Coturnix japonica: one gene and its partner. The protein of the gene in region 1 binds, or shares a complex with, the protein of each later gene. Links are inferred from orthologs where the notes say so. Each region holds a gene or a part of one and is shown in the gene's direction. Other genes may lie near its edges. The genes, in order: RGS9 and RGS9BP.

Evidence for each region.
Region 2: RGS9 (region 1) and RGS9BP share a complex: the UniProt entries of both Homo sapiens proteins name them as parts of the RGS9-1-Gbeta5 complex. The link is inferred for Coturnix japonica from reciprocal best matches to the Homo sapiens genes RGS9 and RGS9BP.

Annotation. Positions count from the first base shown.
Region 1 is NC_029533.1:6,496,085-6,500,661, forward strand, and holds the start of RGS9 (regulator of G-protein signaling 9), read left to right. Parts: upstream 1-1,665; 5' UTR 1,666-2,341; coding exon 2,342-2,404; intron 2,405-4,577. UniProt on the Homo sapiens protein: Inhibits signal transduction by increasing the GTPase activity of G protein alpha subunits thereby driving them into their inactive GDP-bound form. Binds to GNAT1. Involved in phototransduction; key element in the recovery phase of visual transduction.
Region 2 is NC_029526.1:8,554,268-8,558,503, forward strand, and holds the start of RGS9BP (regulator of G-protein signaling 9-binding protein), read left to right. Parts: upstream 1-1,383; 5' UTR 1,384-1,717; coding exon 1,718-2,431; 3' UTR 2,432-4,236. Other genes in the region: ANKRD27 (ankyrin repeat domain-containing protein 27), read right to left, coding at 1,169-1,349. UniProt on the Homo sapiens protein: Regulator of G protein-coupled receptor (GPCR) signaling in phototransduction. Participates in the recovery phase of visual transduction via its interaction with RGS9-1 isoform.

The DNA of each region.
Region 1 (4,577 bases):
TACTGGGAGACCTGAGGTTAAGTCATGCCTCTGTCTGTGCCAAGTTTACACTATTTTCTGATAAACTGCTTTGAAATCTTCCTGGAAGGAACTGCGTACTGAAATTCAGCTTGTGCCTGACACTCAGTGCCATTCATTTACGTTGATTCATTGATTCATTTACCTACCCCTTCCTTCCCCTCACCGCTGTCCCCGGTTTCCTCAGTTAGAAATGTAGTTACCACACGCCTTTTGTGTCGCATGATTCAACTTGTGATGTGTGAAGAAGGGGCAACCACTTAGGAAATGTCATCTTTAAAAAAGAGGGGGATTCCACCTGCAGTGCTTTCCGCATTAGAAAGCAACAAGAATTGTCACCTTCACTGTGAACGTGTCTGGTGAGAGCGAACATTACTGAAGGGGACTTCATGGGGACATCAATATTTAGCAGGGGCAGCTGGAAATAAGCAGGAAGACAAGGAGTGTGCATGGCTTGTGCTGGCACTCTGCTGCTCTGCCCTGTTGCACAAGCCCCTTTGCTTTTTTGGCTGACAAATTCACCTATAAATCTGCCAGATTGTATCAGGGATGGAAAAAGTCTGTTTGCTCTTCACGGATGAGGATTTTGTCATTGGAAGCCCAGGACTGTCTGCCCTTTGTGAACCTGTATAATCTGATTTAAGTGCCTTGTGCTTCACGTGGCCGAGCTGCCATAACACATTAACTGCTGGGGTAATTCACCTGGGCAGCAGGTGAAACACGGTTCATCTCTGATCTCTCTTTGGTGGTTTGCGTCATTCCTAAATAGAATCACTGTTGAGCTTATGTTTGGTTTTATTTTAGCTTGTCGGAGAAGACTGGAAACTGAAAACAACCCAAACCTGAGCTGAGGAGGAATCTAAGGTGGAACTCTTCTCTTACTTAACGCCTTCAAAATGCCTGCATGTTTTCACTGTTATTTTCCTTACCTCACCTTACCCCACTTTTAATTCCCTCTCTCCTGCTGTTTGCCTACAGAACACTGTGTGCTGCTGCAGTTTGTCACCTTGGCAGTATCAGGAGGCCACCAGGATCTGAGCTTGTTTTGAGAAACCAAACAGCAACACAACACTGGAGTTACAAGACACTGCAAATGCATGAAGAACTTCTTCTTCTGACAGTCAGCTGATGCCTTGAAGCATGAGGTGTGATAACTTTGCTATCAGTGGGATGACAGGTTACTCATTGGCATTATGCTATAGCTAGCAGCACAGAGCGGTGGAAAAGCCTTTGGAAAGTAAGAAGTGCCTGCGATCCAGTGGCTGCTGTGACTCACAGGGGGATTTCACATGGGAATGACTGAAAGCAGACACAGAAGAAAGGCCTTTCCAAAGCACTGGCTTGTTCAGCTAGTCTGAAAGAACAGAGATAAAGATAAAACCCTTCCATGAGGGCAGCAGAGCAACTGGGAAAGCAGCCCACACCCTCAGGGTATTGTATGAATGGAAAAGAACCGTGCTCTGTATTCAGAGCCAAAGTGTTTTCCTCCAGCCCGTGAGCCATGGATTATAATGTCAGAGCAGTAGCAGTCACTGTGCTGGGGAAGGCAGTGCCCCAAGAAGCAGCAAATGCATGACTTTGAAACAGATGTGTTGCGTGTGAATGTGCAGGGTATAAATGCACCTGCATGATATTCATATGTGTCTGGGGGGTGTACGAGAGCACTGGCCATGCTGGGTGGACTCTCCTCCTGCCTGTGTTGTCTGGCCAACCCTTGGCAGCAGGAGGAAATCCCACCATTCTCCGAAGAGATCAGAGACACAAAGCTCTTGGTTTCCAGCACTACCACTCAGGTTCCCCAAACCCACAGCCATGAGCCAGCTCTGTCATGAGGAAGCACCCTGCAACCCTTCCCTGTTCCTCTGGTCACCATTAATCATAATTTCCCCCATGACAAACGCTGAGTTCCCAAAACCATCCAGCTGTTTGACAGGCGGGTGATGCTGCAGGTGCAGCTGCCCGAAGCCTGCTTGCCTCTGTATTGCTCCATCACAACGGACCAGCTGCACGCTGGAAGACTCCTCTCTTCTCCCCATGAGCGAGCAGCGTTGTGGGGGGCTGTGCCAGCTGCTGCCTCCTCCTCCCAACCACCATCATCCCCCACCATCACTCTGTGCTCCATACGGCTCCCAGCGTCTCAGTAGCGCCCCGAGGTGGGCGCCGTGCGTGGAACGGCGGATGTTAATCGGCTGCGGCGCACAGCGGAGGCGCCACCCTCGGCGAAGACGGGAGAGCTGGTGGTGGGGGGCTGTAACCAGGTGAGCTGTTGGAGCTGCCGATCTGCTCGTTCGCCCGCCTCTCTTTCCGCTCCATCAGCAGCACCATGACCGTCGCACGGCTGGACCAGGGGCAGCGTTACCGCCCGCGGATGGCCTTCCTGAAAAAGGTGAGGGTTGAGCAGCTCCGGGTGCGAGCTGGGCGTCAGCACCTGGGGTACAAGATCGCACCCGGGTTGATGGTGCCGTGCGATGCGGTGCTCAGCTTAGGTGTCCCCTTGTCCGTATCAGCCGTCCGAGCATCCTGCTGGGATCTGTTACCCCCGGGAATGCTCTGTCCGGCTGTGCCTTGTGGCCACGTGGAGCCCCTGGCACCGGGGCTGAGATCACGGGGAGAAAGCTGTAATTTGAAAGTTATTTATGTTGTTATTATTATTATTAGCTGAATTATACGGACGGTTTCCTTCCCTCTCCAATCTTTCCCCCCCAAATCCTTAAAGCTCATCCATTTCCTAGGGGAAAACTCATCTCCAACACCGGGCTGCCCCGTTCTGCTCCCGGTACGTTTCCACCCACCCAGCTGCTGTCTGCTTTATGAGCATGTGTCATGACCAGCTCTCGCTTCCTGCCTTTTTCCACATTTTTAGAGACGAGCGTATTTGTGACCACAAACAGTTGAAAGAGTGGGAAGATCCGTGCCTACGCTTTTGGATGTGATGCGTAATGTTGTAAAGTATTCAGTGTTGGGTTCTTTTTTCCCCTTTTCCCTGTAGCATTCATTCAGAAGCGGAACTGGGTTTTAGTGCAACCAAGAGCTGCAGAGATTTTAAAAAGCAGAATGTTAAGCTTTTCTTCCACCCACCCACCTCTCCTGCCTGTGGCTTATCTTGCTGAGCGGAATTAGCTGAATTTCCAGTGACAAGCACAACCAGCCAGTTGCTATTCGAGTCAGCTCTCCTGCAACGCCTACGATCTATAGAGACACAAAGAGTCCGGGGGTACAAGTGTGGAAATCAGAGGCTGTTCAGTGCTCAGGTGTGAGTCTGGATGTGCTTTTCACAAGGAAGGAAGCAGGAATGATACGTTTCTTGATACTGTGTTTTTCAAGATACACTTGGCAGGGGAGCCCTGCGGTGGAAATACATGGGGCCATTCTGCACTGAGTAATACTTCTGTGGGGTTTCATGCAGAGGTGGAGAGGAGAGGCTGCGTGCTTTGTGAAAACAGCCTCCCACAGCTGTGCTTCTGCTGTTCAGTGGGTGTTAGCGGTCTTTGCAAAGTGCTCTGAGCTCCTCGGGTGGGAAGGTCTTTTAAAATACAGCACTGCTTATGGAGCATGTACAGTTCACCCTGCAAGAAGCAGAGGGTCTGAATAGCTACAGTGCTTTGGGAGTACAAGACCTGTTGGCACTGTAAAAGGGCACTCACGGATGGTCTGTGAGCAGGCCTTGGCTCTTGTCTCTGCTTTCCTTCCTCCTCTGCTTTTTCAGCCCTTGGGGAAGCCATGGACAGAGCCTCAGCTGTTACACAGCATGTACATGGTGATGGTCACATCCCCTGAAATACTGAGTCCTTCAGTGTTGTCCCATGGGGGAGCTGAAGATGCTCGGCACGCATCCAGTGAGCACTTTGCAGGCTTAGAGCCTCAAGGAGCTAAAATCGTAGGGAGAAGCTTTGTTAATTGCTTAAGCCTGTGCTTAGGCTTTGCCGTGGGCTGACATGTCTGCTGTAGCCGTGGGTCTGTGCCAGCAGCGTGGTTTCCTGCAATTCCATGATGCTGCTGGTCCTGCTGTGTCCACGCAGCTGTAACTTGTCTTCATGTGCTGGTTCTCCAGCAGGCAGCTTCTGATTGATCCAGGGAGGAGAAGGGCTTTCTTCAGGAAGTTAGATTGACTGTTATGTTTTTTCCTAAACTGCGTTGGTAGAAAGACTTTCTTGCCTGTGTTCTATCACGGTGGGCTCTGTGTTTTCCTCTGCTGTGCTACATGAGCTGCATCATGACTCATACCTCGTGGGCTGGGCTGATGGATGCTGCTTGCCTTTTTCACTGCCTCTTCCTTATTCAGTTCCTTGATGTCCAGAGACAGACCAGATCCACAGCATTGTTGGGGCTTCCCAGCCCAGCTCCATCTTGGCTTGAATTCTCCCATCTGAGTCTATTCATCAGTTGCTTCTTGTCTGTCTGTTTTTAAAGATGTCTTAGTGCTGGAATTGTGTTATGGTTGAAGTTGGCTTCTCTGTAGGCTCCTGCTCTCCATGTAAATGGGGTACAGAACATTACCAGAGCTGAGCCGTCAGCCTCTTGGCTTCTTTAATGCTGTGTGTATTGTCCAATGGATGAGG
Region 2 (4,236 bases), on another chromosome or scaffold:
AGCAAAGGACCAAACTCCCCATGCAACTGAATCATAAAAAAGGAACACGGCCTCGACATACCCCCAGGCCTGGCACAGCCCCAGGAACCCGGCCTGCCCAGAGCCTGCCTAGCACAGCACCACATCTTGCCTGTGGCTCACACTGTGCTGCCACGATAAGGGACAGGGTCACGATCAACCTCTTGGAGGATGTTTTCACTTCTCATAAGTTACTGTAGCAACATCAAACCATACAGTTGTCCAGGAGCATTAAGGCATAAGTAGCTGTGCACGTCATGACAAGCAAGTTCTCCAGAAGTCTGCTATGGTGAAACATGTGTTAAGAGACAGAGCCCAGACCGCTACATAGTGCTCAGCATCAGTGTTATCTATCCTGGAAGACACAGGTGTGTGTACAAACATGCCTACAGCTCCTCACTGACCACATCGTATTTCAGAACACACACAAGGGCAGCCACTAACATACCATTTTCGATAGTAAGAAGCTTGTGTTTGCTAAACCTTCTGATGTCTGATTACTTGATTTCAATTACCCTTAGATATTCTAGGCCCCATATTCACACTTCCTAGGGGCCTTCATAAACAATCCATAAAAAAGGAGGAAAAATACACAAATTCTCACCCCCGACAAACAAGCTGAAGTATTCGTGACACCGATATACAGAAAGCATGCAGCACACAGCCCGGTAGGAACCCGAGTGCACTCCTCTGGTATAAATAATGCACGTACCGGGGTGACACAAAGTTCAGCGCTGCATTCAGCGCTCCCCACGCCGCGCAGGTGGCAGCGGGTCTACCCGCAGGTGGCAGCGGGACCGCGGGCACCGGGAGCCGCCGCGCCAAGGGCCGGACACCGCCGGAGCCGCAGCTGCCAACGCGGCGGGGAGCGCAGCACAGCACAGCGCCCCGAGCACAGCCGGCCCAGGCCACACCGGCTCCGAGGCAGCCCCAGCCCGGGAGCAGGCCGCGGCCAAGGCCGGCACCTCCCCTCTCGCAGCACGGCTCACAGGCCGCGACACGGCCGCTCCGGGAGGGCACCGCCGGGAGCGGCCCCGCGGAAAACGACCGTCGGGCTGGGGGAGGAAGAGGAGGAGTGAGAGAGGAGTGAGAGCAGCTCGCCCCACCGACACCGCCCCCCCAACCGCCCCGCGCCGCAGCCGAGCCATACCGGGATCCAGGGCGGGCCGGTGCGGCGCCGCACGAAGCCAATGGCCGGGCAGCGGCGGGAAGCGAACGAGGAAGCGGGCGGCCGCCGGGGGTCGGAGCCTCCAGGGGCGGAGCCTGCGAGGGCTTATAGGGCCGGCCCGGGCCGCGCCCGGAGGCCGCGGGCGCTCCCTGCTCGGCGCCATGTGACCGCGCGGCGCCCAGCTGCGCCGGATCGGGTCGGTGCTGACAGCGGGCGGCGAGAGCTGCCGATCTGCAGAGCCTCAGCTTTAGTTCTCGGGCTCGCCTTTGTCCCGTGTTTGGCACTTGTCAAAGTACGGCGCCCCATCGGCGGACGCCCGGCGCTCTGCGGGATGACGCGCCCGGGTCGTGGCTCCCGCCGGCGGTAGCGGGGGAAGCGATGCTGCCCGGAGCGGCCGGAGCCGCCTGAGGGACCGCGGGGCGGCGCGACACGGGGCCGCCTCGCGCCATGAGCGCTGGGAGCGGCTGCGCTGGGCAGCTCCGCGATCCCGGGGCCAGGTAACCGCGGAGGAGGCGCCCGGACGGCGGGACCATGGTGAAGGAGGAGTGCAAGGCGCTGCTGGACGCGCTCAGCAGGGTGACCGCCTGCTACCGGCACATGGTGCTGACCATCGGCGGCACCTCGGACTCGCAGAACCTGCGCGAGGAGTTGAAGAAGACCCGGCAGAAAGCACAGGAGCTGGCGGTGGCCAACAGGAACAAGCTGACCGCGGTGCTGAGGGATAAAACCGTGAGTAAGGAGGACAAAGCCGAGTTTGAGAGACTATGGGTGATTTTCTCCACGTGCCTAGAGATCCTGGAGATCGACATGAGGAGAGCCCTGGAGCTGGGGCACGAGTTCCCGCTGAACGTCCCCAAAAAACACCTGATCCAGACGGGCATGAGCGGGGGTACGTCTGGTGTGGCTGCCCGGGCCATGAGTGTCCAGAACATGAAGTACGAGGCCGAGCACAACATTGACGTGGTGGATCTGAAGGACCTAGAGAACGAAATCAACCAGGTAGGAGAAATGATGTACGAGATGGAAATGAAGGTCAATGTCCCCCAGTGGACGGTAGAGGCTAAGCAAGACCCTGGGGCTGAACTCAAATCCACCATCAGCGTGGGCGCTTCTTCCATTGGCATGATCTCTGTGGAGGAAAATAAATCCTTCTGCGATATCAGCAAAGTTCTGGCTGGGATTGTTTTCTCCGCTGTTCTCATTATTGCTATTGTGCTGGCAGTGTGTGTGGTAAAACTCTCATAGACTGTGCTGGCACTGGAGAGCTCTCACAGGGCCGCCCAAAAGTGCTTCGTGCCACACGTCTCTTGTCACCTGGGTGCGCTGAGTATCTAATCCTAGCACTTGGAAATGTAACTAAAAACATCTGCCTCTCAATATCCTGAAATGCACAGTTCCTTTCATGCTTTTTGAAGAAAAAGATGCAGATCAGCCTGCAAACTAGGATGTGTTTGTTAGCTGGACTTGTAAGGGTTAACTGTGAGGTACTGAAGGTATTATCACTACTGGCTATAACAGCGATTTGTCTGCTATTAATAGATTGTCACTCTGAGAAGCCTGTATTTTTTGTTCTTGACTAGGCTCTGCAGTTTGCTGCTGCTCACTGTTTACAGTATTTCTGACTGACACAAATTTGGAGGCCAACACAGGTGTTTTTGTGTGACAGTAAACAGAATGGATTGGGATTTTTTTTTTTCCAGCAATACACAAGATATTATTTAAGTGGAGGAAAAAGGATGGACACACCAGTAAGAGCATGTAAATATCTATTTTAATAAACGTTAATGATCAGGGAGGTGTGGAGGAGGGCAGAGCAAACTAGCAGTATTCAGCAAGTACAGTTTGTAGCTTTAGACTGGGCTGCACAGAACCCAGATACCGAGGTTGGCACTGCACAAATGGATGGCTTTCCACACCCTGAGAGAGCAAAGGTAGAGCTGCGTAGTCAGAAAAATACTAGCAAGCCCTGTGGTTTACTTCCACATTTACCGTGATTTTGTCTCCCCCTGGAGAAAGGCTGATCCTTGCCTCTGGTCAGGTTCTTTCTATCGATGCAATCTGTCTGAACTTCAGAGCTGACCATGAGATGAGAAGCAGCGAATCCACCAACAGCAGATGACATAATTTTTGGAAATAGTTTGGCAAACAGCAGCGATGTAGGGTGAAAGCAGACCTTTCTAGTCATCCCAAAAGAGATGGTCTCTCATGTCGACGGGCAGAGATTTGGGCTTCTTGACAGTCAGTCACGTTTCTGCAAACTCCTGAGGTCTTTGCAGAAATGCAGATAAAGCTAAAAAAATAAAAGTAAAAATCTGTTTCATGTCTCATTCATTTCTGAGAAATCATTTGGGAAAGAGGAAGTCTGTAGTACTGGACACATAACTGGTCCAATTGGATACCCTGCAGTTTGGGACGATAAAAGCAAGAGCAGCAGAAAACTCCCAGTGTTTACCTAAAACTTGCCTGTTGAAATGTAGAACTGAGGGGACACTGACTTTGCAGAGAAGCTCTGTTATGTCTCGTAAAAGGACCCATGTGTTAATGTTCTTTATTATGTAATTTATGGAGATTCTTTCTGTTCATGTAAATACACACCATTCATTCAGGAATGCTTAGTACATACATTATAGTGCGTATGAGACATTCTGCAGGGCAATTATAGAGACCCATTTACATGGGGGTTTTAATACATAATTAGTCTGCCACCCCAGTTATTATGGACACATATCAAAAGGTAATCATCAGATATGGCTGGTGAAGTTACTAGAAAACAATCTATCTTTGTTAGTGAATGTTACCAACATATATGAACAGGTGATAAGTTTTTGAGTTGAGGACAAAACTTTTAAGAACAGCAGCAGGTGACTTTTAAATGTGTAATAAAACTGGATTTGGGTAGAAAAAGCATGTACAAGTTTGAATCTAGTGAGGAAAAAGAATGCCAAGTGAAGGCTTGAGCTGTGAGTAATGCACATTGATCCAGTCTAGACACGATTCACATAGGAACTGATGTATAAGACTCTTCCTTTCTACTGTGTTTCAGTCATTCC